Linked DNA regions of Danio rerio. The protein of the gene in region 3 purifies or fractionates together with the protein of the main gene of each other region. This does not show direct contact. Links are inferred from orthologs where the notes say so. Each region holds a gene or a part of one and is shown on either strand. Other genes may lie near its edges. The genes, in order: snrnp200, ptges3a, aar2, eftud2, zgc:103692, ttc27 and prpf6.

Evidence for each region.
Region 1: the proteins of aar2 (region 3) and snrnp200 purify together in Homo sapiens (affinity purification with mass spectrometry; 5 studies listed by BioGRID and IntAct, counting the BioPlex papers as one, with this or other methods). This does not show direct contact. The link is inferred for Danio rerio from reciprocal best matches to the Homo sapiens genes AAR2 and SNRNP200.
Region 2: the proteins of aar2 (region 3) and ptges3a purify together in Homo sapiens (affinity purification with mass spectrometry; 3 studies listed by BioGRID and IntAct, with this or other methods). This does not show direct contact. The link is inferred for Danio rerio from reciprocal best matches to the Homo sapiens genes AAR2 and PTGES3.
Region 4: the proteins of aar2 (region 3) and eftud2 purify together in Homo sapiens (affinity purification with mass spectrometry; 5 studies listed by BioGRID and IntAct, counting the BioPlex papers as one, with this or other methods). This does not show direct contact. The link is inferred for Danio rerio from reciprocal best matches to the Homo sapiens genes AAR2 and EFTUD2.
Region 5: the proteins of aar2 (region 3) and zgc:103692 purify together in Homo sapiens (affinity purification with mass spectrometry; 3 studies listed by BioGRID and IntAct, with this or other methods). This does not show direct contact. The link is inferred for Danio rerio from reciprocal best matches to the Homo sapiens genes AAR2 and C9orf78.
Region 6: the proteins of aar2 (region 3) and ttc27 purify together in Homo sapiens (affinity purification with mass spectrometry; 3 studies listed by BioGRID and IntAct, with this or other methods). This does not show direct contact. The link is inferred for Danio rerio from reciprocal best matches to the Homo sapiens genes AAR2 and TTC27.
Region 7: the proteins of aar2 (region 3) and prpf6 purify together in Homo sapiens (affinity purification with mass spectrometry; 3 studies listed by BioGRID and IntAct, with this or other methods). This does not show direct contact. The link is inferred for Danio rerio from reciprocal best matches to the Homo sapiens genes AAR2 and PRPF6.

What each region holds. Positions count from the first base shown.
Region 1 is NC_133183.1:33,096,778-33,100,450, reverse strand, and holds the end of snrnp200 (U5 small nuclear ribonucleoprotein 200 kDa helicase), read left to right. Parts: intron 1-668; coding exon 669-845; intron 846-1,939; coding exon 1,940-2,100; intron 2,101-2,207; coding exon 2,208-2,289; intron 2,290-2,582; coding exon 2,583-2,675; intron 2,676-2,796; coding exon 2,797-2,946; downstream 2,947-3,673. Other genes in the region: odf2b (outer dense fiber protein 2b), read right to left, coding at 3,547-3,673. UniProt on the Homo sapiens protein: Catalyzes the ATP-dependent unwinding of U4/U6 RNA duplices, an essential step in the assembly of a catalytically active spliceosome. Plays a role in pre-mRNA splicing as a core component of precatalytic, catalytic and postcatalytic spliceosomal complexes.
Region 2 is NC_133198.1:29,970,419-29,974,961, reverse strand, and holds the start of ptges3a (prostaglandin E synthase 3), read right to left. Parts: upstream 3,075-4,543; 5' UTR 2,905-3,074; coding exon 2,903-2,904; intron 781-2,902; coding exon 667-780; intron 1-666. UniProt on the Homo sapiens protein: Cytosolic prostaglandin synthase that catalyzes the oxidoreduction of prostaglandin endoperoxide H2 (PGH2) to prostaglandin E2 (PGE2).
Region 3 is NC_133198.1:4,218,077-4,221,896, reverse strand, and holds part of aar2 (protein AAR2 homolog), read left to right. Parts: intron 1-90; 5' UTR 91-92; coding exon 93-849; intron 850-2,650; coding exon 2,651-2,880; intron 2,881-3,820. UniProt on the Homo sapiens protein: Component of the U5 snRNP complex that is required for spliceosome assembly and for pre-mRNA splicing.
Region 4 is NC_133178.1:15,073,295-15,077,155, reverse strand, and holds part of eftud2 (116 kDa U5 small nuclear ribonucleoprotein component), read left to right. Parts: intron 1-3,596; coding exon 3,597-3,790; intron 3,791-3,861. UniProt on the Homo sapiens protein: Required for pre-mRNA splicing as component of the spliceosome, including pre-catalytic, catalytic and post-catalytic spliceosomal complexes. Component of the U5 snRNP and the U4/U6-U5 tri-snRNP complex, a building block of the spliceosome.
Region 5 is NC_133180.1:33,916,889-33,921,526, forward strand, and holds zgc:103692 (telomere length and silencing protein 1 homolog), read right to left. Parts: upstream 2,924-4,638; 5' UTR 2,839-2,923; coding exon 2,759-2,838; intron 2,573-2,758; coding exon 2,513-2,572; intron 2,397-2,512; coding exon 2,345-2,396; intron 2,223-2,344; coding exon 2,152-2,222; intron 2,071-2,151; coding exon 1,993-2,070; intron 1,900-1,992; coding exon 1,702-1,899; intron 1,583-1,701; coding exon 1,446-1,582; intron 686-1,445; coding exon 587-685; intron 492-586; coding exon 397-491; 3' UTR 246-396; downstream 1-245. UniProt on the Homo sapiens protein: Plays a role in pre-mRNA splicing by promoting usage of the upstream 3'-splice site at alternative NAGNAG splice sites; these are sites featuring alternative acceptor motifs separated by only a few nucleotides. May also modulate exon inclusion events.
Region 6 is NC_133192.1:24,118,701-24,123,068, reverse strand, and holds the start of ttc27 (tetratricopeptide repeat protein 27), read right to left. Parts: upstream 3,034-4,368; 5' UTR 2,867-3,033; coding exon of another isoform or gene 2,794-2,866; 5' UTR 2,400-2,793; intron 1-2,399.
Region 7 is NC_133198.1:7,086,797-7,091,410, forward strand, and holds the start of prpf6 (pre-mRNA-processing factor 6), read right to left. Parts: upstream 2,892-4,614; 5' UTR 2,843-2,891; coding exon 2,652-2,842; intron 1-2,651. UniProt on the Homo sapiens protein: Involved in pre-mRNA splicing as component of the U4/U6-U5 tri-snRNP complex, one of the building blocks of the spliceosome.

The DNA.
Region 1 (3,673 bases), on a different chromosome or scaffold from region 3:
TATTTTTATCAATGATAAACAAACATGACTGCTGCTTATCTTTGAATAGGAAGTTCAAAACAACAAAATTAATTTGAAGTTTCAGTAATAACTTTCGGTAACATAATAAATATCTGTGCTGTCACTTTTCATCGGTTTAATGCAGCGATGCTAAAAAGAAAAATTCATTAAAAAAATTCTTGCCCCAAACCTTTGAAAGTATACCACTATTTTCACATCAGTAACAGAAAATGAAGAAACAAAAAAAAATGTAGAACATATTAGACATCTTAAAAAAAAAACTAAAGATTTTTGTTTATTTCAAACATTTGACCAGAAATCTTTATTTTTATCAGACAAAAGATGCCATATAGTTTTATTTTTAAATTAGGCATACAGTCAGGGTGCACATAAGAGGTCTGTATGCACAATATAAATTACGTTTGGCAATCAAATATGGCACTAGAGAAGTGCTTTTGCAGACCACTTTAAGTAATGTAAAATCAGTAATTGTATATTTGTAATATAAATAAATGTGTTAACTTCCGACCGCAGAAGCCTTCTAGCTGCTCTTCATCTCAAACACAGTCATCTTCCCCCCGCACATCATCTCAAACATCATTCCTTTTTTTTTGTTATGTTGACGTTCATATATTCAGTGTTTCTAAAGTTCTGGTGTTTGTCTTCAGGCGGTGCGTCTGATCCAGGCGTGTGTGGACGTGCTCTCCAGTAACGGCTGGTTGAGTCCAGCACTGGCTGCTATGGAGTTGGCACAGATGGTCACGCAAGCCATGTGGTCCAAAGACTCGTACCTCAGACAGCTGCCACACTTCACCTCTGAACTCATCAAGCGCTGCACAGACAAGGTAGACTCTTTAAAGAGATAATTCACCCAAAAAAATCTAAAAGTCTGTGTCATTTACTCACCCTCATGTGGTTCTGAATTTTTTTTTTCTTTTTAACACTAAACAAGATACACTCAAAAATGACTTTTTCTGCTTGTTCAGATTACTTATTTAAAATGAATCGTTTCATGTTTAATCCACTTAAATTTGTAAAAACGATTACCGTAATCGATTTGAGTTGGGACAACATGAAGAACTTGTGTAGAACCATACCTGTCAACATTGGGATGTGAAAATAAGGGATAACAATAATAAGGGATACCCCCTCTCCTTAAAGTCCCTAAATAAATAAATATGTTCATCTGTTGCTGTTTTAATGTAAATTAACATTTAAATTGGTATATTTTATTATTATTATTTACAAAATAAATAAATAGTTTGCATTAACAGCAAATAAATTAACAAACATCTTATTAAAATTAATAGCTGTTATAAATAAATAAAATCAAGTTATAAAATCTCAATCTTTTGTTGACTGTATAACTTACTCATTCTGATAAAAGAACACTGAATGAATCTCATTTATTTAGATTTTTTGTTTGATTACATCAATTAACAGGTGTCACTGTAAAAAATGCACACATCTAACATTAAAATAAAAGCATTCGATTACTTGCTTTATATGCTCATTTAGGACTAAATGAATTGTAATTGAAAAGAAAACCCCGCCATCATCGACATTATTGGATGTTATTATTATTATTATGTGTATATATCTGTTCAAACACGCACTCAAAACCCAGACTTTTGCCCCGTTTCAAACCGCGTGTACAGAATCTGTTTGCGAAACAATGTCTCTTTTTCACTAGGAAGCATGTCAGTTGACAGTCACACACTGCTATATGAATGTTTTGAGGGTGCATAGAAGCGATGGCCCCTGTAATGAAAAGAAAAGGGAATCCCGCTGTTTTTATATTTATTTCAGTGTTTGCATGCCTAAATAAGATGAAAGCACAGAAGAGTCACATTTAAGAGCAAAGCGCCACCCCTGGTGGTTTGGCGGTATGGTTTTGTGTGACTGTCTATGTTTTGTTGATGTGTGTGTGTGTCTGTAGGGTGTGGAGAGTATCTTTGATATCATGGAGATGGAGGATGAGGATCGCACTGGACTCCTTCAGCTCTCGGATGTCCAGGTGGCAGATGTGGCTCGTTTCTGTAACCGATACCCCAACATTGAGCTCTCGTATGAAGTGGTTGACAAAGACGACATCAAGAGGTGCAAACTCTTTCTTTTGAAGATGCTTAATATAGTGTGGTTGTACGAAACACAGAATTTTTTCCATAATCAGCTGGAGGTGTGAATGAGTGTTCTTGTGTTTGCAGTGGGAGTCCAGTAGTGGTGCAGGTGCAGCTGGAGAGAGAAGAGGAGGTCACAGGCCCCGTCATCGCCCCTCTCTTCCCTCAGGTCAGTGTCTGTCGGGATATTGAAATAATTATGAACAATACAGCATTTAATAATCATAGTTTAACATTTACTAATGCATTATCAACATCCAAACTCATGCTTATTAACATTAGTTAATGCATCATGAGTTAACATGAACTAAAAATAAACAACCATTTTTTCGTTAACAAACAATGAACATTGCACTTATAACAGTATTTGTTCATGTTAATAAATGCATTAATTAACACAACCTTATTGTAAAGTGTTGCCCAATGAACATGAGTTAAATAATATCTTGTCCGTTTGTGCAGAAACGTGAAGAAGGCTGGTGGGTTGTAATCGGTGACCCCAAATCAAACAGTTTGATCTCAATCAAGAGGTTAACTCTGCAGCAGAAGGCCAAGGTCAGTCCTGCTCCTCTATCCAAAAGCAGCAGAATATACATTCTCACACGTTATTTTAGACTTTCTAAATGTACCATTTAAAACTTTCTTCAACTACAGCGTGCTCTCTCTCTCTCCACAGGTGAAGCTGGACTTTGTGGCTCCTGTGGTCGGTGTGCACAACTACACCCTGTACTTCATGAGCGACGCTTACATGGGCTGCGATCAGGAGTACAAGTTCAGCACAGAAGTGAAGGAGGCTGACAGTGAAGGAGACAGTGACAGTGATTAAGCCCACAGTAGACGGACGGTTTGAGCCCATTAACTTTTTTTTTTTATAAATATTTTTGGAGGAATAACGTGACTGTTAAGTTCATTGTGATTTGAATAAAGATGTACATTGGAGAGTTGTCGCAATGATGTTTTATTAAAAAGTTAACAAAACAAATTCAAGTACATTATCGGTAAAAAGAACTGCATCATGAAAAAAGATTGACTTTTATTTTTCCTCATGTTATTCCATAACTTTTCTAACCTTATTTCCAGTGGACAGATATAAAATGAGAGCGCTTTTACATTTTGTCTCTCTGCATTAGTCATTTTTTGTTTAGTAAAGTTATCGTAAAAAATGTGATGCCATTTCTTTCCAAATCCAAATTTAAAATCACAGTGTTCTTATTTTCCACAATACCCATGTTTTAACTTGGAATAACCTTGATTTTTCAGTCACAACAAATAAATAAAGACCTTTATAAAATGAAACAAATATTACAATTTTACTGAAACACATGCGTAGTGAATCCACAGGATTTTTCCCCAGAGACAAAAAAAAATCATCGGCATTTCGGCATGACATGAGGATTAGTAAATGACAGACTTAACATTTGATAAATCAGATGTGTGGATTGAGTGCGCTGGTCAGCGAGGAGTCTCCAAACACATCAGCGTATGAAGCTTTAAGGTAGTTGACGTAGTTCTGCAGGCTGCGGTTTGAGCTGTTCACCTGCTCCAGCTGATTC
Region 2 (4,543 bases), about 26 Mb from region 3:
TTAGACACTGCTTAATTTAATCATAATAGAGTGAAAGTTTATCATCTGCATGTGTTTTTAAGGCCTGTGACTATGTGAGCATTCATTCATTCATTTTCTTTTCGGCTTAGTCCCTTTATTAATCTGAGGTCGCCACAGCTGAATGAACCGCCAACTTATCCAGCACGTTTTTACGCAGCGGATGCCCTTCCAGCTGCAACCCAAAAAGACTATGTGAGCATTTTACGTTTAAAGCATTTTAGTTGTGCATAAAGAAGTTTAATAAAGGTTATTTTTATTAAATTACTTGTATAATGAAGACTATGCAATGTTATTTTACATTTGACATTTTACATTTATTTAATTTCTGTACCTGAATACTGTTAGATTCTCTCCAGAAAACATGGTTTAATTTACTTTCATTTTTGCACCATTGTGTTGATATATGAATGTAGTTTGTTTATTATATGTATATAATAAATTACATTTAAAATATATATTTATATTTCACACCCCTACACAATCATCCCAATCACACTAAACTAAAGATTTTGCAGATAGAGCTATAACTGTCATCTGGTGAAATTGAATTTATATCGCAATATACATCGCAGAGAAAAAAATGCAATGTAAAATGTTTCCAAAATCACTCAGGCCTACTATTAACAACTTAAAACAAGGATGTACCTGAAATCAAGCTTTGTTTTGTCAAATTTAACTTGGACATCTTTGCTGTCTTCTATACAAAACTCGATGAAGACAGCTTCCCGTCTGTCATACCACTTGGCAGTAGCTGGCTGCCTGCAAAACAAAAAATGAAAAGCAATGTTTTAGAAAAGGCTTCAGTCTAACTCCACTTTAATATGACATTCAAAAACACAATATCACTTAATTCTAATGGAATCCATGAGGAACTGAGCAACCAGCTAAGTGCATTTGTTAAAAGTCAAACTCCACACTAAAAGTGCAGCTCTAAATTAACATGTGCGGGCAGGAGGTCCTGGCGGGGGTGGAGCAACAATGACGTTACCGTGGCAACCTATTTGTATCAATTGGCAGGATCATGCATGGCTTCTTAACAATCTACCTAAGGCTTAACCCATGTAATACAATTATAGCAAAACCAGGCCTCTGTAATAAAGGGCTGCACAATAACTCCTATTTAAATCTGGAGTTTATTTTTATTGCTGTAGTTATAAGCAGGGTTTCTGTAGGTTTCATTAGGTTAAATGTAAGACTTTTAAAGACCTTTTTATCATGAAGGAAATTTTAGACTTAAAGCTAAATGCTAAGGATTTTTTTTTTTCGAATATCCCAGTTGGAAAATTTTTTCACTTGCCCTCTCAAAAATAATTAGAATTTAATACATTTAATAATACAATAATAATAATAATTTAATAATAACAAATATAGGTCAGGTGGTCAGTATCCTCAGCAGTAAATAAATGGGCGAACTTTTTAAAAACAATTACTGTAAGGAAAGTAATTAAACAATGATGGTAAATTAGTTCAAAATGCAATTTCTAAATGAAAAGTTTTGTTGAGATTGTTGGTGATTGTATGAGTGTTAATGGCCAGATTGGGAAGCTATACATGAACAGAGGAAAATTAAGAATGTTAAAAAAGATTTAAGACATACAACACAATATTTCAGTTGATTTGGGACTATTTGAGGCCTAAATTAAAATTTTTGAGATTTAAGACTTTTTAAGACCTTGTGGATACCCTGTATAGGATACAATAAAACAGTCATTCTAAGTAACTTTTTAATTTTAAGGCTTTAAAAAGTAACTTTATAACTTTGATTCTTGGAATAATTCACCCAAATATTTAGAATTCGCACCATTTTCTCTCCCTTATGTGGTTAAACCTTTAAGTATTTTTCTTTTGTTAAACACAAAAGATGTTTTAAAGAACTATAATTATTAACCTCCATTGTAGGAAAAAAAGCACAAGAAGTCAATGGTTACAGGTTTCCAGCTTTCTTTAAAAAATCTTTTGTGTCTAACAGAAGGAACTCAAATGTCTGAAACAATTAAAGGGTGAGTAAATGAAAATGTTTGCGTGAACTATCCCTTCTAAGATTAATTTTCAGCATCATTACTCCAGGGTTCAGTGTTTTACGTGATCATTCAGAAACCACAAGATGCTGAACATTTATTATTATATTACTATATTATTTATAAAGGAGATTTGGTTCATATTTTTTAATTTTAGCATTTATCATGTCCATACATGCATTTAAAAAGATGGTGTATCATTGATCGCAGCTGAAAACCTTTCAGCCTTGCTCTGCTGGTTTAGCCTGTAGACTGTTAACCAGCATGACCTGAAGGAAAGTACTCAAAACCATCTCACAAACCTGTCGTGTAAAGCTGGGATGACAAACTAAACCCCTTCAGTTGGCCAAATAGCCACCCAACTGATCTCCAGCATGGAAGACCAGCATAAACTGGCATTAATACCTTCTTAAACCCGTTCAAACAGCAAACATGACTTAAGCATGTTCTTTTCCAATAGGGAACACCCAGCCTGCAAGCCTTGATCTGTAAAAGGTTGATTTATATGACACATATATTGCTTGTACATTCTACAATAATGCATATGAAGCATGAATAGATGAACAGAATAGAATCATGCCATAGTAGCTTGCAGTAACCCCAGGCCTAACTATCTAGCTGCTAACCAGCTAGCTAAGCTCTGCTGTGGGGACAATGTGTGCTATTTCCACCACCAATTACCACTAGACGTTTTTCTACACAAATTCTAAGCTTCTTCACGAGGAAGATTCGTATTGTCCTAAATGTTCATACATGATAGTTGGCGTATGAGAGAGAATCTGGTGTTTCGCTGATAAAGGTTATGCACACATTTGCTAACTAGCTAAAGTTAGTGCATCCCTATGACTGCCGGTCAGACTCACATGTCGAATTCTCCTTTCAGTGTTCACCCAAATCTGCGTCTCCTCTCGCGTCCTCTCGCCTGGGGTAGTGTTTTGGATTTGTGCTGTCAGATCACAGTGAAGGCATACAGACGGAAGCTATAGCTGTTTATGCGCCGCTGTCAACCTGCACAAGGAGTGCGCGTGTCTCTACACACTGGCGCGCAGTGACGCATCAGCTCAACGTTTCTAGCGACTTCTGCTGCGCGCCCCCAGCCATGCGCGTTCCCTAAGCAAACACGTCTCCATAGTAACGCAGTGCTCGCTCCCCTGCTCGCTCCGCCTTGACAGTACAGTACAGGACGTCCACTGATGCAGGGCCACACAAATCATACGTCATACTTTTTCTTGAGTCAGAATGAAATTGTTTTGTCAGGATCCTCAGGCGTACTACACTAGGCGAAATGAATGAAGTGCATGTGCATTCACATGTATTTTATAAAAAGCATTTAATTAAATATTAATAAATAAATACAAATATCTGTCAGTCTGATAAAGGCAACACTTAAAGAACTGCAGATAACAAACGAAATAAGGTAATAATACAAATGATACCAATAATATTAATACTTTAGTAGACATTTGTTATATTAATAGTGATGATAATAATAATAATTGTAATAATAAAACAACAAATTATGAAAAATTTGTAATATTAATAATAATAGTAATAATAATTTATCATTATTATTTATTATTATTTATTATTATTATTATTATTATTGGCAGCATGGTGGTACAGTGGGCAGCACAATCGCCTCACAGCAAAAAGGTTGCTGGTTCAAGCCACGGCTGGGTCAGTGGAGTATGTGGAGTTTGCATGTTCTCCCTGTATTCGCATGGGTTTCCTCCGGGAGCCTCAGTTTCCCCCACATGTCCATAGACATGTGATCTTGGCTGAGTAAGCTAAAACTGTCTGTAGTGTATGTGTGTGAATGGGAGTGTATGGATGTTTCCCAGTGATGGGTTGCAGCTGGAAGGGCATCCACTGCTTAAAACATAAGCTGGATAAGTTGACGGTTCATTCCACTGTGGCGACCCCAGATTAATAAAGGGACTGAGCCGAAAAGAAAATGAATGAATGAATGAATGAATGAATGAATTATTATCATTATGATGATGATGATTATTATAATAATAATAATTATTATTATTATTAATAATAATAATAATATTAATAATAATAATAAAATAACCATGACACATTATTTACAATAATAGCAATGCCATAATGACAATAATTATTGCTATAAACAAAACAACAACAATCAACATTATTATTATTATTATTAATACTACTACTACTAATAATAATAATAATATTTATAAAAACTTATAATTTTTGGTTGTTGTCTGCGGATTTTTAACAGTTAAGGTATATAGATGGATGAATGTGCTATTTTTATTATTATAATTATTAATATATTATTATTAATATCTATCTATCTATCTATCTATCTATCTATCTATCTATCTATCTATCTATCTATCTGTCTGTCTGTCTGTCTGTCTGTCTGTCTGTCTGTCTGTCTGTCTAATAAATAGACAACACTTAAAGAACTGCAGAAAACAAATGAAATAAGTAAATAATACAAATTATACTAATAATATGAATACTTTAGT
Region 3 (3,820 bases):
AATCGCAATCACAATGTCTGTCAAAAAAATTGCAATTAGATATTTTCCCCAAATTGCGCAACCCTACCTCAATCTATTTATTTTCTGCAGATATGGCGGGAACAGACATGGACCCTGAAGTGGCCCGAGGGTTGTTTGAAGAAGGCGCCACGCTGGTTTTGCTTGGAGTTCCTGAGGGAACCGAACTGGGACTCGACTACAAAACATGGACTTTGGGTCCTCGTTTCCGCGGGGTGAAGATGATTCCCCCGGGGCTTCACTTCCTCCACTACTGCTCCGTCAGCACCAATGGAGGCTGTGGGGAAATCAGCCCCAAAACTGGCCTGTTCCTGTCCCTGAAGCCTCGGCAGGTGCTTGTAGCGCACTGGAACAAGAGCGCAGATGATTTGGAGATCTCTCAGAACTCGGAGGAGGTGGAGCGCGTACGGGGCAATCTGAAAGAGCTGGACCGGTATTTAGGGCCGTACCCCTATGATACCCTCCGCAAGTGGGTTTCTCTCACTGACAGACTCAGTCAGGAGGTGGCCGTGGCCCTGCAGCCCCTCAGCGGACGCGTGTGCGCTTTCAGCGATGTCATCCCGGAGCTGCAGCTGACTCACACTAAAGATCGGGTCCAGCAGAACCTGTCCCGCAATGATCAGGAGTGCCAGAGTATGAAGGAGGGCCTGGACCGGCTGCCGCGGATGAAGCAGAGGGAAGGCACAGAGCTGCGGTTTTCCAGCATCCCCAAGCAGGCATATCCTCCTGGGGCAACACCCGCTCAGATCACCCAGTACAGCATGGACCGCAGTTACATTCTCAACGCGGTACTGGAGAGACATTATAAAGAGCAGCCACTCAATGTACTTGGTGAGGATTAGTTTACTATTCAAATATCAGTATAAGACTACTATCCAAATATCGGTATAAGACTACTATCCAAATATCGGTATAAGACTACTATCCAAATATCAGTGTAAGACTACTATCCAAATATCAGTATAAGACTATTATCAAAATATCGGTATAAGACTACTATCCAAATATCGGTATAAGACTACTATCCAAATATCAGTGTAAGACTACTATCCAAATATCAGTATAAGACTACTATCCAAATATCGGTATAAGACTACTATCCAAATATCAGTGTAAGACTACTATCCAAATATCAGTATAAGACTACTATCCAAATATCAGTGTAAGACTACTATCCAAATATCAGTATAAGACTACTATCCAAATATCGGTATAAGACTACTATCCAAATATCAGTATTAGACTACTATCCAAATATCGGTATAAGACTACTATCCAAATATCGGTATAAGACTACTATCCAAATATCAGTATAAGACTACTATCCAAATATCGGTTTAAGACTACTATCTAAATATCGGTATAAGGCTACTATCCAAATATCGGCATAAGACTACTATCCAAATATTAGTATAAGACGACTATCTAAATATCGGTATAAGACTACTGTCCAAATATCGGTATGAGATTACTATCTAAATATCGGTATAAGACTACTATCCAAATATCGGTGTAAGACTACTATCTAAATATCGGTATAAGACTACTATCCAAATATCAGTTTAAGACTACTATCTAAATATTGGTATAAGACTACTATCCAAATATCGGTTTAAGACTACTATCTAAATATTGGTATAAGACTACTATCTAAATATCGGAATAAGGCTACTATCTAAATATTGGTATAAGACTACTATCCAAATATCGGAATAAGGCTACTATCTAAATATTGGTATAAGACTACTATCCAAATATCGGTATAAGACTACTACCCAAATATTGGTATAAGACTGCTATCCAAATATTGGTAAAAGACTACTATTGGTATAAGACTACTATCTAAATATCGGTATAAGACTACTATCTAAATATCGGTATAAGACTACTATACAAATATTGGTAAAAGACTACTATTGGTATAAGACTACTATCTAAATATCGGTATAAGACTACTATACAAATATTGGTAAAAGACTACTATTGGTATAAGACTATTATCTAAATATCGGTATAAGACTACTATACAAATATCAGTATAAGAGTACTATCCAAATATCAGTTTAAGATTCTGATGGTATGATAACCTTGGATATAATATCACAGTATTGTGATTACTGCTCTAAAATAAATTCTTTTTTTGCTGTGATTATCTTCACTCATCAGAGTGGCAGGGCTATTTACACATCCATATTGTTGGATTTATTGCTATCATTATTTTATTAATGAGGTACAAAATCAGTCTATATATTCTTAATTAATTTGGCCTAATAATGCATAATTTTAATAATGCATCATGCCATGTTTAAACCGTATATGCTGCAGGTGTCTTGCCTTGGCAATAAAGCTTGTATAGTCTATCAGTGGAAAATAATGGTGCGTTTATTGTGATATGAATCAATCTAATATCAGTCACCATGATTTTTAAGTGACTTTCTGTGAGAACAACTTGAATTGCAAAAATGTTTAATTCAGATGCATCGTTTCATAGTTGTTGTTTTTTTTATCAACACTTTGCATTTTAACACACCTATTGAGACCAGCTTTACACACATTCATTAAGTTATTAAATTCAGTTGTTAATTACTGTAGTAAAAAGCTAAATAATAAAAGATTTGTGTCACTCTTGTAGGAGAGCTGCAGTTTGCGTTCGTCTGCTTCCTGGTTGGAAACGTCTACGAGGCCTTCGAGCACTGGAAAAGCCTGCTGGCTCTGCTGTGCCGCTCTGAGGAGGCCATGAAGGACAGGAAGGAGCTTTATCTTGGCCTCATTGCTGTCCTCTACCATCAGCTAGGAGAAATCCCTCCAGACTTCTTCGTGGACATCGTGTCTCAAAGCAACTTCCTCACCTCCACACTTCAGGTATTATTCACACAGTTCTCTGAGCTTAAATAATTGACAAAAGTAGAATAGGATCAGTTTTTCAGGTTATACTAAAGTCAACTTAAAGTCATATTTATTAATATGCTTTCTTGATAGGTTATTGTGCACGATTCACCAATGATCAGTCACAGAACAAAAAAAAAGAACTTGATTCCTCTTCTGAAACAGTTTTTCAATTTGGTTTTTATGAGCTATTTATATGGAACAAAATCAATGCCAAAAGTATTGAAATAAAAAGCTTTTCGAATAGCACTAACTGAAAAAAATACAGTGAATTAACAACTGCTTGCATTTTAGTGACTTGAATTTCCAGGATTTGTAATTTTAGGTTTTGAAATTGAACACAGTTCTTTATTTAAGCTGTGAACATTTCAATTCAAAACACGATTTCATGCTTAAAGGGCCATGAAACCCTCCTGATTCAGCAGGGTGTTTTCACACCTCTAGTTTGAAAAAAGTCAAGAAAGTGGGCATGTCCAGCTCTGTTTAGGGGGAGTGTCGGAGGAGGGAAAGAGGGAAGGTGCATAAAAATTTGCATAAAAATGGGAGTTTCGTTTTGGGCATGCACTGATTTTCACAGAGGCAAAACAAACACAGACGCAAGAGACAAAGACAGTGACTGTTTACATGGAGATCAGTAATCAAATTATTAAATGGTGGATTTTAACTGCAATTTGGCTCTTTCATTCAAGAACATTTTGACAAATGAGATATGTGATTTGAGGAACTGCTGGAAGCGTTTATTTTTAATGCAGTGTTTGTTACTGCACGGTGAATGAAAAAAAAAAATCCTTCGCATTTCTCTGTAACTTAAATGCACTTGGTAGATAGCATCAGAAAGCCGTGTGTGTTATTTCTGTCACAAAATGCCGAGGGTGAAGGTTTGATTGCAGTGTTTACATTTTTACACTCAGAGAGC
Region 4 (3,861 bases), on a different chromosome or scaffold from region 3:
TAAAAATGGTTAGTCTGACATAGTCTCTTAATCCAGGGTGTGCGTGGGGTGAAAAACTAAGTTTTAGGCCTTAAAAGGTCTTAAATTATTGAAATATTGTCTTGTGGGGGTTTTAAATAATTGTAAATAGGTATTTATTGTGTACACTGTGTACATGTAAAACTACCAAATCGAGCAGACAGACACCCATCCAATCCCCAATAGTCCATCTCAACAATTTTTTTTCCAGAACTATATTATAATAGTTAATGTAATAGTTTTATAACCAGTTTGGTTTAATTATTTTCCTTACAAAAATACAATTTGTTTAAAAGTTGTCATTGTATTTATAGATCATAAATAAATAGGGTAAGATTTTTGTCAGACTGTTATGCATACATTTAGTTTATTATAGTTTTAGTAGTTACGTTATTTTGGCTGTAGTTACACTGCACAGTTCAAGTGACTCAGTCTGGATTTTTTTTTTCCTCCCATGTGGCGCAGATGGGATATGGTCCACGTATGTGTAAGCAGGAAAAAATCACATGGATTCCAATTTACTTGAATCAGATTCAGGCCTTGTTCATATGTGGAAAATTTATCCGTGCCTTCATGTCTGCTGTGTAAACAGGTAGATCGGAGTTTCAACTGTCAATGCGAGTCGCCCGTCATTAAAAACCATAACGTATTACGTCAAGTCTGACACTTTTCTTTCAGAACAGACTTCAGCAGTCGCAAACCTTAAATCTCATACACGAGTACTAAAAAAGCTTTTATATTGTTTTGTAGCACAAGAATTTAAGTATGTTAATGAGAGAAAGTGAGCGAGTGCAATATCTGCCACGTAACCAATATAAACTAATATAAAACTGTGGTATACATCTCATGCAAGACATTACATTAAGATGCCTACTGGTTTAAAAAGACCTAGATTAAACGAAGATGGCCAAATGAGAACTTTTTTGTCATAAACGATAGTAAAAGAACTTGTCAAAAAGAATTTAACAATATTAAAAAGTCCTGTCAACAGATTAACTACAGGAACGGAGTAAAGAGCGTTCTTTTTTTTTCCCCAGTTCATTGCGCCTTCACCATGTGCTGTGTAAATGCAGACAATCAGATACGAGTCACTTGTAAAAGATGATGTAAGCTGTTTAACAAAAAAAAGTGATACAGTCACAAATTTATCGACCATCAATATGTGCAGTATAAATGCAGCCTTTGAAGGAAATGTATGTATACAACTGGGGTTTGCTTGTTTTGACATTGTTTAAAATAAAAACAATTTAACAATTTACTAATTAGACTCATTTTTATGATTGGGGAAAAAATAGAAACAATCTTTAATGTTTGTCTTAGCATAAGTCTGAAGTTTATTTCATAATGGTCTTAAAGGGGTGGTCCAGAATGTTATTTTTAAGGCTTGGTTGTGTTAATAAGATGCAAAGCAATGTGTGCTCATGTTTAACTTGAAGGAAATCGTGTTATTTTTTCATAAATCTCACTTTGATTATACACAGCTACTCAGCTAACATGAAAACGACTGTCATATTTCCTAGTTTCTCTAAAAGGCCCACCCTCAAGTGACTCTGATTGGTCATCATCATAATATGCTGTGATTCGCCGATCGGCTCCACGTCACGCCCTGACAAGCACGCGCGTTTTTGTGTAAACAGTCAGTCAGTCAGTCAGTCAACACGTGTCTGTAACGAGTGAAAATGGGATGCGGCTCCTTTAACTGTTTCTGTGCCTTTTAGTGTGTTTATGCGTGTATACGATGAAGTATCTGTAACACGAGAAGCGCATGTGCGCGGGAGAGATTTTTATTGTTCTTTTTCTCTCATGCTCGGATTAAGTTATTTTCTGTGGTGACAGAATAAAGCACAAGATGTGAGATGAGACCTTTGTGAGCCTGGATTGATTTGTTTTTGATGTTACACTCCAGTTGGGAAATCATTGCTGTATTTTTTTTAAATCAACGCGTTACAGAACGTCTTTCATGCATATGCGGAATATGCCTGTGTAAGTAACATGAATCGTTCACATATCTTTTGCGACTTTATTGTCCGAGTTGTAAAACGCATAGCATAGCTGCCTATAGAGAGAAACTCTGCCGTCTCCCACAGAGAGACGCAGGTGCTGGCCAAGAGAGCGTGTATGTGTATGTGTGTGTGTGCGTTTACAGCCGTTTGATAAATATAGATTTGTAACGTTAGCTAAGTCGTTAGCGGTTACCATAATTTCCCGTTGTTTACATCTTTGCTACAACACACCGTTAAAGTTAGACACTGTACATGTCATGATCAATTTTAACAAATAAAAACACTTACAGGTCATGACTCAGAGTTCACAGCGTCTCCTTGCTCCATCTTTGAGGAGATTTTAACTGAATCCAGCACTGAACTGGGAGAGATTCTGGAAGCTGTGTTTTGTCAAATCATGCTTGCTATGTATTTTATAGTTCTCTGGAACATAATTAATATTGAACTGTAAGCACTTCTGTGTTTGGGTCGTGTCATTTGGAAGCCCAACAACAGAAACAGAACAGCTATGTGGAAACAGCAGGATGGCATTTCTCCCTCTGCAGTAACGTTACAGCGCCTCTGGCCACGGCCTTTACCTGCGCAGTGTGGGATGCGCAATAACGAACTTTTGTGATCTCACAGGGGGCGGAAGTATTTTTTGTAGTCCCCAAAATTCGTTAATTGTAGGCGTTGCTAAGCTAACTCTGTACAAATCAAGGTCTCCCTTTGCATTAAACTTTGAATATTTTACATTTAGAGATGCTGTTTATGTTCACACAGCTACATTACACATCAACTGAAGTTTAAAATATAATATCGTAGTGGACCACCCCTTTAAATAGTCTTTAATTTGACTCCGCTAACCCTTTAAGAATCTGTAGTATTGTGAAATATTAATATAAAATAGTAATAAAAATAATAAAATAGATTTTTTTCTAAAACGTTTTAGCAGTCATCATTAATCCAGTTTATTGGTGCTTAAGAAATATTTTATATCAATCTTGAATACCGTTTTAATTTTATTTCAGTCGACCATGATGCATTTATTTCAGGATACTTTGATGAATAGAAAGCTCCAAAACAGCAATTTTTTTAAATGGAGTTTTGGTCAGTGTAATGATAAATCAGTTTCCTTTTTCACTTAAAATGTTACTTAAAAAAAATAAAAAAATTTGAGAGGTGTATATTTTAAAAGAAATTGGCACAAATAAATGTAAATTTAAATGTAAATGTAAAAAAGTTTTTGTATTGTGGATGCCACTGTAGTTCTTACGGGTGAATATTAATAAATAACTGTTTATAACTGATTATTCTGATTATTTGACTTGTTAAATAACTGATCATGCATCCACTGCGTAAAACATATGCTGTAATAATTGGCGGTTCATTCCGCTGTGGCAACTTCTAAAAAATAAGAGACTAACCAAGAAGAAAATGAATGCATAACTGATTATTTGAATGCTGTGCAAAACTGGGAGAGACAGTGTGTAAAACTATAAATTCTAACTAATGTTAAATGATTTCTTTGTCTCTCCGGGTGAATTATCCAATCACTGAATTTTGCCATGTAAAATGTTTGCTTTCTTGTCGAAGGGTCCACTGATGTGCCACACCACTAAGATGTACAGCACAGATGACGGCGTTCAGTTCCACGCGTTTGGTCGGGTCCTAAGTGGAACCCTGCAGGCAGGTCAGCCCGTGAAGGTTCTGGGAGAAAACTACAGTCTGGAGGACGAGGAGGATTCTCAGATCTGCACTGTGGGACGCCTGTGGATTTCTGTCGCCAGGTGAAACTCACACTAATTTAGTCTGTTTGCTTGGAATATATCTGACTCCATTTACTGAAAAAGGAAATAGT
Region 5 (4,638 bases), on a different chromosome or scaffold from region 3:
CCTCAAAACAAAACCTTTAGAGAAAAGGTAATATGCTGTTAGTGTAACAGAGGTTACAGTATTTCATTATCAAATCCTGTAGAATAACCGTTTAATAAGAATAAAGTTTCATACATATGCAGTGATTGAGCATTTATGTGGAACTGTTCTACAATCATTATATAATTATGAAATTGAACAATGCGCTAAATTTATGCAACTAAAAGTTTTTCTGTTATAAAATATTTTCAAAAAACTACCAACAATTTGGGTGAAGTTTTATTGTAAAAAGCTTATCGTAAGTTACAGATATTTAGCAGAGACATTTTTTTAAATATAGTACAAAGTATTTACATCTTTCAGTTTACAGAAAGGAAAAACAAACTCCATCATGGTAACTGAATTATTAGTGAAGGATTAATATCGTCGGTTCATTTTCTTAAATTTCTCATAGTGGTAGTCATCTGTGGCCTTCTCGTTATTGGGTCTCTTGCGGAAATTGGGTGGTGAGGCTGGAGACCGAAAAAAATACACCAAATCATATGAACATGAATACATTAAAAACAGCAGGGCATAAAAGCTGAAGAGGTTTTCAATCTGATCTTACCCTCAGGTGCTGGTTTCTCTGTGTCTCCTACACGCAATGGCCTGGCTTTAGGCTCTTCTCTGTTGCGTCTTTGGGGCGCGTTTGAATCCTCATGGTAGACTTGACAAAATAGAACAGATGATGACTTAATCTTTCTTCTTTGGGATAGCAAATGTTTTAAATATGGTTCACATTTTACTGTTTACTTATTTGTTAGGCATAGACAGAGCTGTTGATAAAAGCTTACACTTGAAAACAGATATGGTTAGTGAACAATTTTGAGAAATCAATCATTGGCCTTTTCTTTGTACAGTTTTGTTACAAAATGTATTTTAAGTAAATGCTCTGCTTTTGAAATTTACATTAATTTCCGTTTTTTTTAATATTGAAAGATAAATGTGTAAATTAGGCACCAAATCATCGTATTAGAAAGAATTGTGAAGAACTGGACTAATGTTTGCTGAACAATTCAGCTTTACAATGAACAATTTACAACATTTTTTTATAATCTTAAAAACCTGATTATGAAAAAAAGAAAATGAGTGCAATTACAGACTGCAAAAATATTTCACAAGATTACATTTTTAAAGGGATACTTCTACTCAAAAGTTTTTTAATTCTGCCATCATTTAAATCAGCCTTCACTTGTTCAAAACCAAAACACAAAGAAGCCATTGACGATGATGGATTCCAGCAATCAGTTTTCTTCAAAACATCTTCTTTTGGGTTCAACAAAAGAAAGAAACTAATAACTGTTTAAAACCACATGAAGGAGAACAAATGAAAAAAAATGAACTATCCCTTAAATGTGAGCATAAGAGACTTAAAAACATCTTACTGACAAACGTTTGAACAAACAGTTGTTTGTGTGTACACTTACAGCGATTATGCTGGACGTAATTGACCGCAATGTTTGTGGGAACAAAGGAGGTCCCGCTGTCTTTCTTCTTATTCCTCTGCTCAGCTAGCAGCTTTGCTTTGGCTTCTTCTGTGTTGATGATATTCTTTATCTTTGCGCTGAGAAGAAAGAGAGAAAAGAGGCTTTTAGGTTGACATCAATCATTTGTTTGTTCTGAGCCACCAGTCTAGAGAAAACAATAACTGATGTCCATGAATTAGCTTGTGTCTTTACTCACTCAATCCCCAGATCCACCTCTGGAATTCCGCTCAGCATCTGATTGGACAACATCTCTTCTGTCTTTTTGGCAGAGCTGACGTTGATGTTCTCTGGAAGCTCATACAGGAGGTCCTCTGGATTCTTCACCTTTACCTTCTGCTCCTCTGCCTCCACCATGCCTTTCTTTTTCTTTAACTCTGTCTCAATGTACTTCATCCTGCGTGAAATGAGATGCATGATGGGAGAGGCTTTAAACATAGTGACAAAACCAGCAATGCAGAGAGTATGTGATGTAGAAGCATGCACTTACATGTCAGCATCTTCATCTCTTCTGTTTGTCTCGGCAGAAAAGGATGTACCAAGATTGAGGTCATTTTCATCCACTGTCCTGTAACAAAAGAGGAAGTGTCAAGATGCAAATATAGAGACATCTTGAAATGAAAAGCTAACATGTTTACTTAATTCTTACATGTCTCTGCTTCTGTCTTTCACTTTCTTCATGTCAACAACACCTCCAGTCTTCAGTTTAAATGGGTCATCCTATGACATAAACATGGAGGGACAAAATGTCAAACCTCTATTAGCTCATAGAGAAGAACAAAGTTACACTGCAAGGCTTGTATTGTAGTGCAAAATGTAGTTTGATTAAAATAATAAAACACCTCAAGCTCAGCCTCTAAAGGAAGCTTCTCTCCAACAAGTAACGTTGCAATGCTGGACAAACAGAATGGAAAATAGCATTTATTATTCTCACTTTAATTACACAATGAAAAGAAAGAAAAATGTAAACACCACCAACAGTAACAACCACAAAGCAGCTCATGACCAACCTCACTCCATGCTGCCTTTTTCGCAGACTCTGTAGCTCCTTGGCTTCATCCAGTTTTGACCTGGGTAAACATATAATAAAAGTAACATCTTTAAATAGTTTTTCACATTCAATAGGTTTCTGTCCTCTCTGAATGCATGTACAAACTAAACAAGTCAGCTGCATTAATCTTTTCTGCTCGTTTTACCAAGCGGTTTACAACAGCTGTGTTTACTTTGTTTGGCCTGAATGTGTTGAATATATCTACCTGACTACGAATTTTGTTTCATCATCTTCCTCGTCGGATGAATCCTCTTTCCTTCTTCTAAAATTTTTACCTGGTGGCATGACTTGTTTTTAAAACTCGTCGAATTATTTACTGATAAGCGTTACGTTACCCCTCGTCCGTCTGTACGCAACGGTGGCGGTCTATGTTTAGTGACGGACCTCATTCTCTAGAAACTTCCGCTCGCTGGCATCACATTTGTCGTCTTAACAGTTGATCTCAGATCAGCTTGCCTGTTTTTTGTACAGCCGTTGAACGGCGAAAAGCGGAATGATGAGACTGGTTCTAGATCAGCTGCTTCTATGACACGATACAGAAAAACAAAACAAAAACGGCGTAAATTTAATAATAAACACTCTATACGATAAATGAACGTGTAAAACAAGCAGTATGTGTATTTTATAATCGAAGTAAATAAAAAATTATTTGATCATGCTAAAGAACGAAATGCGCTCATTGGCTGTGGTCAAAGCCGTGACGCACGCTTCTGCTGTATTCAGTATGGATGCTGCTTAGTAGTAACGTTACACTGCTTCCCACCACTGTTACAAACACCTCCGATTGGCCTAAAATGACTATCTATGAGCGATATTTTTGTTTCTGTATGACAGGTAAATATCTGTTTCTGTCTTTCCTTTTGCTAAATCGGACTGTCACTGTTGTTTGATATGATAACATCATGTCGACTCAGCGTATGAATAGTGTCTTGCAGACCGAGTGGAAATATGGCCTGTTTATTCTGCAAGATCGTGATGTTAAACAGCTTTTAGGTGGTTCACCGTGACGTATTTGAGGACTGCTGTGTGTTTATGAACATAATAAACACCGAAGACGAAGAGGAAAAACTATTTGTTTTGTTTTAGATATTATGTTTTAATTCAGATGAATTGTTTGCATTACATTCATATTAACGCGATTGTTTTCTGCGTCGTTTCGGACTTCAGTTGAAGTTAGTTTTCTAGTGAAAATTTGATTCATAGAATCATGTTTTTTTATATCAATTATTGTATATTTCCCTTGCTGTAATGGAGGTGTTGGTACGGGACGAATGTTTTTTTTTCCCATCAACTGACTAGGCGAATGAAACAGCAATTTTGGCCTCTTAACAGTTCTAGGCAGAAACATAACACACATTGAGCAGATATGCTAGATAGATACCATCCTCAATACTCTATAAATATTTTTAAATTTTTATACTTATAAAAAAAATATTATATAATATGGTATATATTTCCGTTAATATCTATTCAATGAGGGCAGATTTTTATTTATAATTCTCACTGGTAATGAGAGTGTAAGGTTCTTATGGGGACAGTTTATCAAATAATTTTGTCATCATTTCATATTAATGAAAGTTTATGGTTTCTGACTTTTTGATTTTTGTTAATTTTGGAGAAAGATTTTTAAAAATCAATGTTATTTACTGTATTGGTGCTGCGCAGTCTCAGAGCTGTACCAGACATTCTTAAAGGGTTTGTTTACCCCAGAAATAAAATAAAAAGAAAGGATTATTATTCAACCTCATGTTGTTCCAAACTCCACAAGACCTTTATTCATTTTCAGAATACAAAGTAAGATATTTTAGATCAGGGCTGCACAATATATTGCTTCAGCATCGATATCATGATCAGTATTACACAATAGTCACATAGCAGGATCTATGCTATGTTGAGTTTGTTTTTGATGCCTGTGATTGTATAATGATTTTAAAAGCATTCAGGTATAAGAAATTGTACAACTTGTGACCTTAACTACTTTAGTTTTTATCATTCAGTTACTGCACTTAAATATTTTTAGACTCAAAAAACGATAAAATACTTTATTTCAATTGTATCTTTTTCTTAATTTTATTTATAGATTGT
Region 6 (4,368 bases), on a different chromosome or scaffold from region 3:
ACAGTGTCCTGTAAATTACACATTAATCACTCCTGAGAATGATGTTCGTGAGATAAAGAGACATGAGAGGAAGTAGGGTGTATACAAGTGAACAGTTACACTACATAAAACATCTGTTGTTTGTCACGCCACTTACGGCACATTAAACTGAGGGAGAGGAGATGGATAATGCATGAAATTAGAAGCAAGGTAACAACATCCTTCAATAATGACTAATAGGGCAATTCACACTAAGATGCATTCTGGCGTTTCATTTTAACTGCATGTTGGCCAATATGTCACATCTCAAACTATCAGTGTCATGGATTGTAGACTACACATGTAATCAAAAGTAGTAGCCTAATCTAAATACATTTTATGAGCCAACAACCTCAGACCATCAATGATATGGTTGCTGACCTTGGATAATTCAAGTCAAGCTTTAACAATGATGATCATTTCAGTAAGCAAGTCAAATAAAGTAAACATCCCGAATGATTATTAACTGGTTAATAGTGTTGCAGTTTCAACCAAATCATACAGTGCGTTCAGGAATCAGACTGTCATGCTCAATGTTTGGGCTCAACATAAATTAACAGATTCAAAAGAGTCCATTAAAGAGTTCAGATGCAAAAACCTTTAAGCACCGTCTGAAATTTTAATCAAAAATGAACATTTTTCTCAGCTTTCTTTGTTTATGTTAAGATATTTCATTTTAAAAATCAGGAAAATTACATATTCTTTGCCATAAAAGTGGTATTACTAAACATACACACAAGAGCCTAATAAAAATGCTCATTGGGTTTTTGCATCTAAATGCTTCATTTGTTAAGGAACTGCACTGTAAAATGATCTCTTAATACTCTTGAAATGTTCAGTACAAAAACTACATTGCCTGCCTGAATTTGATCAATTCAGAGTCAAGCTTTAACAATGATGAACATTTCAGTAAGTGAGTCAAATAAAGTAACGGTAGGTTTTGTGCATCAACCATATTTGTAGTTTTATTTACACTTTTGAACCACGTTTGTAGTTTTAATCCAATTCCTATCTAACATGCAATGTATTGTGGGCAATATTAGCAATTAAGAGTATGGACTCTTCTACACTTAAAATTGTAACCGAAAATAGTAAACTATCTGGGAAACTTTGGCATACTCTTTTCAACCTACTATGGTTTGAGACATACTAATTCTATTTTCAAATACTACTCAGGATAGATAGTATGCGCATTGAATCACTAGAAGGATCAGCTATTAATTAGGAAAGAACAATACATTAAATTGAAATCGCAACTGTAATTGAGCAAAATATTAAGATTAAGCTGAAATAACTTGTTCGGAAACTGTAATAGGCCCATTGAAAATTTGCATAAGTCAATTTAAAAAAATTATCTTTTAATACTATTGAAATATTCAGTAATAAAACTATTACCTGCCTGAATTTTATTCCATTAAAAAAAAATCCACTCAGAAGAGTCATTTATTAAGGTACCAGACTACTTCAATAAAAGAATCCACTCCAAATCATTTATGAATTTCCATAATAAATCTGAACTCAAACGTCAAAATTACACTTAACCTCCAAATTTACTAAAAGAATCACTTTTTAATACAGAATTGTTGTACTAAATATATTCGACTTCGCTACATTTAGATTCGCTTAAAAAATGACTAAAACGGTTAATTGAATAGAAATCCAAAAAAACTATTTAATTGATTTGCTTCACAAAAAAAGATCCCTTTGTTCATAAAGCACACTACCTTAGTGAATCAGAAAACATTATAAACATTTTATTTCCATGTGTTATAATGAACCAAATAAAAGATTCATTTGCCCTGAACGGATCAAGTGCTTGCTTGATTTACAAAAAAGAATCGACTCTTAAGACTCTTCTGTTCAGGAATCGAACTAGGAATGTCAAATTGAATTGTATGTTTCCGAGGATTTTAGTAATTTAAAATTAACTCGTTATGCTTTCGGAATCGAGCTACACGAGCGATCGGTTCTGATTTTATAAACAGACTGGACTGACATTACAGTCCAGTGCTCCAGACTTGAACTTGATTTTGCTGAATGTTTCGCGCTGTGGAATCTGTAGCTGTAAGAGAAGAGCAAGAACCGCTGTCCGACTATTTAATACGGTTTTCCGTCCCATATCCGCATTAGGCTTTAGCAACCGGTAAATGACTATTTTAATTTTGTAAATCATGACACTATTTATGTTCGGTATAAATTAATAATGATAACAATAAATAATAATAGTAATAAATAACAATCATCTCACGGTGTGTTGCGCTCCTTCACCGTTGTCATAAACGCATCCTGAGTGAACGCCCACTAGAAATAACACAGTCGGGTGTTTACATGCAGGTGCAGCCCAGCTTTGTTCTAAAACAGTAGACTAAATTTTCTCTCACCTCAACATGAACAGAATAGATAAACACGCGTCTGTCTGTCTGTCCTCATGATGTCCGATGCCCACACTGACCCTCCATACGGTCAGTTATCAAACACAGAAGTTCTGCTGTCAAATCGCGCCCGGTTAGTTCACGGTCAGCGGAAACTCACATCTGTCTGTCTTTCGGTCTGTCTGGACACAGTCCCGATTTCAACACACATGCGGCACATCTACACCACGTGAGAGACAGACTGCACGCGCAACACTCATCATCCACAACAAGAACCGAGCAGATTCAAGCCCTGAAATCCTCCACAGCTGCACGACAGCATCAACATCTGTCATAACCGCCGCGTTCAACTGAAAGTCGGCCGATTTCCCAAACTCAGGGCTCTCATGCCGTTGTCTCTCACCTGCGGTGCTGAAGCTGCTCTGTTTCCAGTCCAGACTCAATCCGCCCAGAACCGCCGCCTCGAGCTGCAGCATCGCGCTCCTTGTGTGCCCGGTTCCGCGGAGAATGAAACAGCGTCGCGTCGCTCAGGACCTGCTCTCTGTGTGAGTGTGAGACTCGTGTTGAGGTTCGTGTGTTCACTGTAATGTGTTAGATTTCTGCCCATGTGCCGCAAGTGTCATCAGTGAGCAGCCATGACAGCGACGAGGTGCATTATGGGATACTTAATAAGCCAGCGCTAAGGGAGCGTCGAGATTTGACCAGACGCGCAAATGAGCGCAACGTAAATTCACTGTTGATAAACAGCTTATTGTAAAAGCAGATTATCTATCTTCAGTTTTATCGTCTTTTCTTTTTTCTTACTTCTATTAGGTTAATGAATGTGATAACAATAAAGCGTTGTTCTTGAACAAGTCACCGACGTGTCGGCCACATCAAACAATATGCTAATGTCAAATAAAAAATAAATAATAAATAATATATTCATTCATTCATTTTCTTCTCGTCTTAGTTCCTTATTAATCTGGGGTCGCCACAGCGGAATGAACCGCCACATGTTTTACACAGCAGATGCCCTTCCAGCCGCAACCCAACACTGGGAAACACCCACACACTCTTGCACACACTCACATACACTATGGCCAATTTAGCTTAGCCAATTCAGCTATATGTCTTTGGACTGCGGGGGAAACTGAAGCACCCGGTGGAAATCCATGCCAACACAGAAGAACATGCCAACTCCACACAGAAACGCCAACTGACCCAGCCGGGGCTCAAATCAGCGACCTTCTTGCTGTGAGACGATTGTGTTACCCATTGCGACACCGTGTTGCCCTACAATAATATAATATAGTCTAAATTATGGAACTAATTACAAACATAATAGGAAACATAAAAGTATATGACAGTGTGTAAAATAATTTGTAGTTGAATTTGAATATTAATTAGCACAGCTACATCTCTTACTCACCTTCAGGTTAGTCCCTGATTTATCAGGGGTTGCCATAGTGGAATGAACCACCAATTACTCTGGCAAATGTTTAATGAGGAGGATGCCTTTCCAGCTAGAAGCCAGCAGTGAGAGAAAGCTATTAAAGCTATATCCGGAACCCACAGTGCTGGAAAAAACCCAGCAATTTATTTTTTTCCACCGCCAATTATGAACTTCCAGTGAAAGCTTTATGTGAGTGTTTTCAATTTCAAAAGGTTCCTTTTATAGCATCAATGTTGTAAATTAGTTCAAATATAATCAGTTAAATAGACTCAAGCATTCATTTAGTTGTTAAAGCATAAAAAGAGACGAAAAACTGTTTAAACACAGGCGCTGTCATCAGCAGCAGGCTAGCACAGAAACTCCAATGAAAATACTGGGGTAAAATTAATTTTCATATTTTAAAGACATGACGCGGAAAAATATATATAATTGAAAGTAGTGCTTCTTGTTTGGTCTGAGACCCACTTTATATCATATCTCAGCCAGGCAGTGAAGAAAATACAGATTTCTCTCTTTTGAAGAAATCATATCTTAAACACAACT
Region 7 (4,614 bases), about 2.9 Mb from region 3:
GCTGAAACCACATATTGACATAATGAACATGTATATTTACAATGTGGGCATTTCAGCAAATAGTGAATAATGATTCATTATTATTAAGCGTTTGAATGCTGTTACATATTAAATATTCAGATTGCTGCTGTCACAGGCAACTTTTGTAAAAAATCCAACTACTTCCTGATTATTGATGTTCCCAAGGCGTTAACAAAAGTTTATAAAACCCTAAAAATTGATCCCAAAAATAAAAATTCTGTCATCATTTACTGATTCTCCACTTGTTCCAAATCTGAGTTTCTTTTTTCTGTTCAAGTTATTCTGAAGAATGCTGGAAAAAAGCAGCAATAGGGTATATGCCGAGCTAGTGCTGTTCCCATGCTGATACACTTCCGGTGACCTGTTATTGTGAACTTTTTTCCATTTTATACGGTTCCTTATACAGCATCGATGTTGCAATGTCATTAAAATACATTCAGTTAAATAAACTTTAGCATTTATTTAGTTGCTCAAGCGTAAAACGAGACAAAAAGCTGTTTACTCGCACGCGCCCGTCAGAATCGGCAGGCTAGGGGAGAAGCTACATTGAATATACTGGGGTAAAATAAATGCTCATATTATAAACATATGACGGGGGAAATGTAATTTAATGAAGTGCTTCTTGTACAATCTGAGACCCACTTTAAATCGGATATCACTCAGCTAGTGGAGATCTCTGATTTTTAAAGAAAACAAACCTTAAACGCACCGGATTTTGCATTGACATTCAATTCGCCGTAAGCGCTTAACCCAGTTTACTGGCAAATTAAAAGTCCTATTAACATGCTTCGGCATATACTCTATTGACTTCCATAGTATTTTTGATTCAACTATGGATATCAATAGCTCCTGATTTCCAAATTATTCAATGTATCTTGTTTTGTGTCAACAGAAGTAATTCATAAACGGTTAGAACCACTTGATTGAGAGGAAATTTACATTTTTGGGTGAACTGAGGATTGAAACATTTGATGTACTCCAAACATTGATATAGATTGAAGCTAGGAAATTAGAAACTGTAGACTCATTTTTGTTATTACGCTATTACAGAAAACTTCCCCACAACACCTTCATGATACTGTAAATCACACTAATGGCTATTGGGGTAAAGTTGGTTTTATATTCACACATTCACTCATTTTTGTACAGTGACAATTTGTGACGAAGCCCCAATATGGTTTACTGCTACTTTGAATATTCAGTCTGAAATCACATGCAAACAACAGTAGTACTATTTATTATTTTCTTATTATATTATGCTACTTGGTTTGTGTAGTCATGCAAACATTTGTTTGTTGAGCAAGTAGTTTGGCCATTTTCTGCCGTTTATTATTCCTAGTCATTTCTCCCATAGGCGACTGAATCGGAAGTTCTAAGACAATCGCAAAAACAGGCGCACTTTCGCATCTTAGAATAAGGTCAATTGACTGTGAACAATGTTCTACTTTTTAAATAGCCATTGGCTGCTAATATGATCCCCTTAATTAGAATGTGCAAAGAATACACTACTGAACTTATATTAAGAAGGGAAAAGTGTGAATTTGTGAATATAAAACCAAAATTGTACCTACATACAAAATTGTGCGCCTACATAGGACTAAACTTTAAATTATTGAGGTAAAATTGGTTTTAGATCCATACATTCGGAATTTGTCTTTAACATAATTTCAGAAAAGTATTCTTTGCAAATACTAAACAGTAAGATCATATTAGCAGTCAATAACTATCAAAGTACAACATTGCTCATGGTCAAACAAACAGTGCTAATGCTGTTTTGAAGTCATACTTACATATGATTTTAGACCCAATATTCAATGTACCATGGTAAAAAATACAGGGAGCATGTCACAAGTATGGAGGTAAAGTTGGATTTATATTCGCACATTTGTTCATTTAGCAGTCTCTATATTGTTTACAATGTTACTTTGAATATTGGATCGGAATTAGCATGCAAGTATGACTTGTAAACAACATTAGCACTATCTAACTGTAAACAATACTGTACTTTAATAGTCATTTGCTGCTAATATGATTTCACTATTTAGAATTTGCAAAACATACTTTTCTGACATTGTATTATTAAGGAGAATGTCTCAATATCCCAATATAAAACTAACTTTACCTCTATGTCACAAGTCGCCTCGGAACAATTTCAGTGTGAATATAAAATCAATTTGATCTCAATCTATATATTTTACAGTATATCTAATGTTATGAAACAATGACTGTAAACTAAAACAATATTTTATATTAATGTTTTGCTGCATTATTATTATAGCATAAAATTATCAGTGTAGTGACAAGTTTATTATAATGTATTATTATAATGTATTTGTACATTATATTTGTATTATTATAATGTATTAAATTATTATAATGAAACATTATAATGTGTGAAAAAATAACACAATTACGTCAAAATACGTCAAAAAATATCAAGACAGAACACATTATATTAAGTTACGTTACACACAAGCTAAAATTATGGCAGCCTCAACACATCAGCTAGACATGATAATGTTTACAAATTTATATAGATGTCGGAATGTCAGGTAAGTTAATGCTAATATAAATAATAACACGTGTTGTGTTGTTTTGCCGCCTGTATATATTGAATGTATGGATCTCACCCTCTGCCCAGACCGGGTACGTAACCCAGCGGTGCAGGCATGCCGAGAAACGGCTTCTTTTTCTTGTTCAAGCCTCCCATGAGCGGAGAAGCGAGCGGCATTGCCGCTGCTCCCGCCGCAGCCCCGCCGGCCCCTCCGGACGGGGCTTTGCTTGCATTTTTGGGGGGTTGTTTCGCTGCGGAGCTCGCCATCGATGCGTTGACGACAACACGCTCCACTTCCGGAACAACACTGTCGCGTTTCCTGCAACATAAAAGTCTTCTTTTGGAACCTGTCGATGCCAAAAACAGCGCCCTCACAGGATTGGCAGAGTGAAGTAGCTTAACCTAAATTTACCTTTTATTTATTTATTTTTTAAATTATTATATACAAAAATGAGGAATACAATGTTTACATGTTTTTTACATCAAAGGAACAACTCAGTAGAGAAAAAAAATAATAAAAAATAAAATTACAGGGGATATAGAAATTACAAAAAAATTGTATAAGAAAAGGATTTCAAAATTGCATACATTCTTATAGCTTTTTTATATTTTTTGTGTCTTTTAGGGTTTCTATTTAAATTTAATTTAATTTTAAACAAATGAATATTAGGCTTATCATTGGACCATTTTTGTTTGTGTACATGGTACTTCACATACTGCATATTATCATTAAATTAATAAACAATTTTTGCTCCAAAGTTTTGTTATTATTGTTGAAAATCTAAAAAATATCTTGACAAGAAAACTGAATTTTTAATTTTGAGTTTAAATATAAGATATTCAACACCAAACCAGAACATTTTCTGTCATTAAATACAACTACACACAACAACGGAAAAAAAGTTTTAATGCTGGAAAATAACCAAAGATATATTGACAAATGTACAGAGGAAGCAAAATATATAATTAGAAATAGCTGGAATGAGGCAAATGTAACTAATAATTGTGGTAATAATTAAGTTTAACATTAAAATAGCTATAAGGAAAGGAAAAGAAATGGCAAAGAGAAAAAGAAGAAAAAATTATAAGTGAAATTATAAGCCTCTCTGGAAATTACCTTTTCTTTTCTTTGTGCTTACTGTTGGGGTTGAATTACGTGACATGAAAGGGGAAAATAAGACAAATTGTGAGTGAACCGCAGTCTTTCTTTCTCTTTCATTTTAAAGGGATAAGTTAGTTCACTGATATACTTTCTTAACCTCAAGTGGTTCCAAATTTTAGGAGTTTACTTTTTTCTGTTGAACACACACACACACACACACACACACACACACAAATATATTTCAAACAATGTTAAAAACTGAAATCAGGGGTTTCTTGATTTACAGCATTTAAAATTACATTTCTGTGTTCAACAGAAGAGGGTGATGCGGTGGCGGACTAGGTAGTGCTGTCGCACCACAGCAAAAAGGTCGCTAGTTCAAGCCTCGGCTTGGTCAGTTGGCATTTCTGTGTGGAGTTTGCATGTTCTCCCCGTGTTTGCTCCGGGTGCATCCGCTGCGTAAAACAAATGCTGTATGAGATGGCGGTTCATTCTGCTGTGGCAATTCCAGATTAATAAAGGGACTAAGCCAAAAAGAACATTAATGAATCAATGTTCAACAGAAGACACTTGTGACTACTAAATTTAAGTTGTTTGTTTAAATTGGTTCGACAGCAAGGTTGCTGTTTCAAGCCATGGCTGGGTCAGTTGGTATTTCTCTGTGTGGAGTTTGCATGTTCTCCCGTTCGCGTTTCTGTGGGTGCTCTGGTTTCCCCCACACTCCAAAGACATGGGGTATTGGTAAATTGAATAAGTATGTGTATATGTGTGAATGCAAGAGTGTATGGGTTTTTTCTAATACTGGAAGGGCATCTGCTGCGTAAAACATATGCTGGATAAGTTGGAGACTCCTGATTAATAAAGGGACTAAGTCGGAAAAAAAGAATTAAATTAATGTTTAAATTCAGCCCGTATAGATTGTTATCAGTTACTGTAC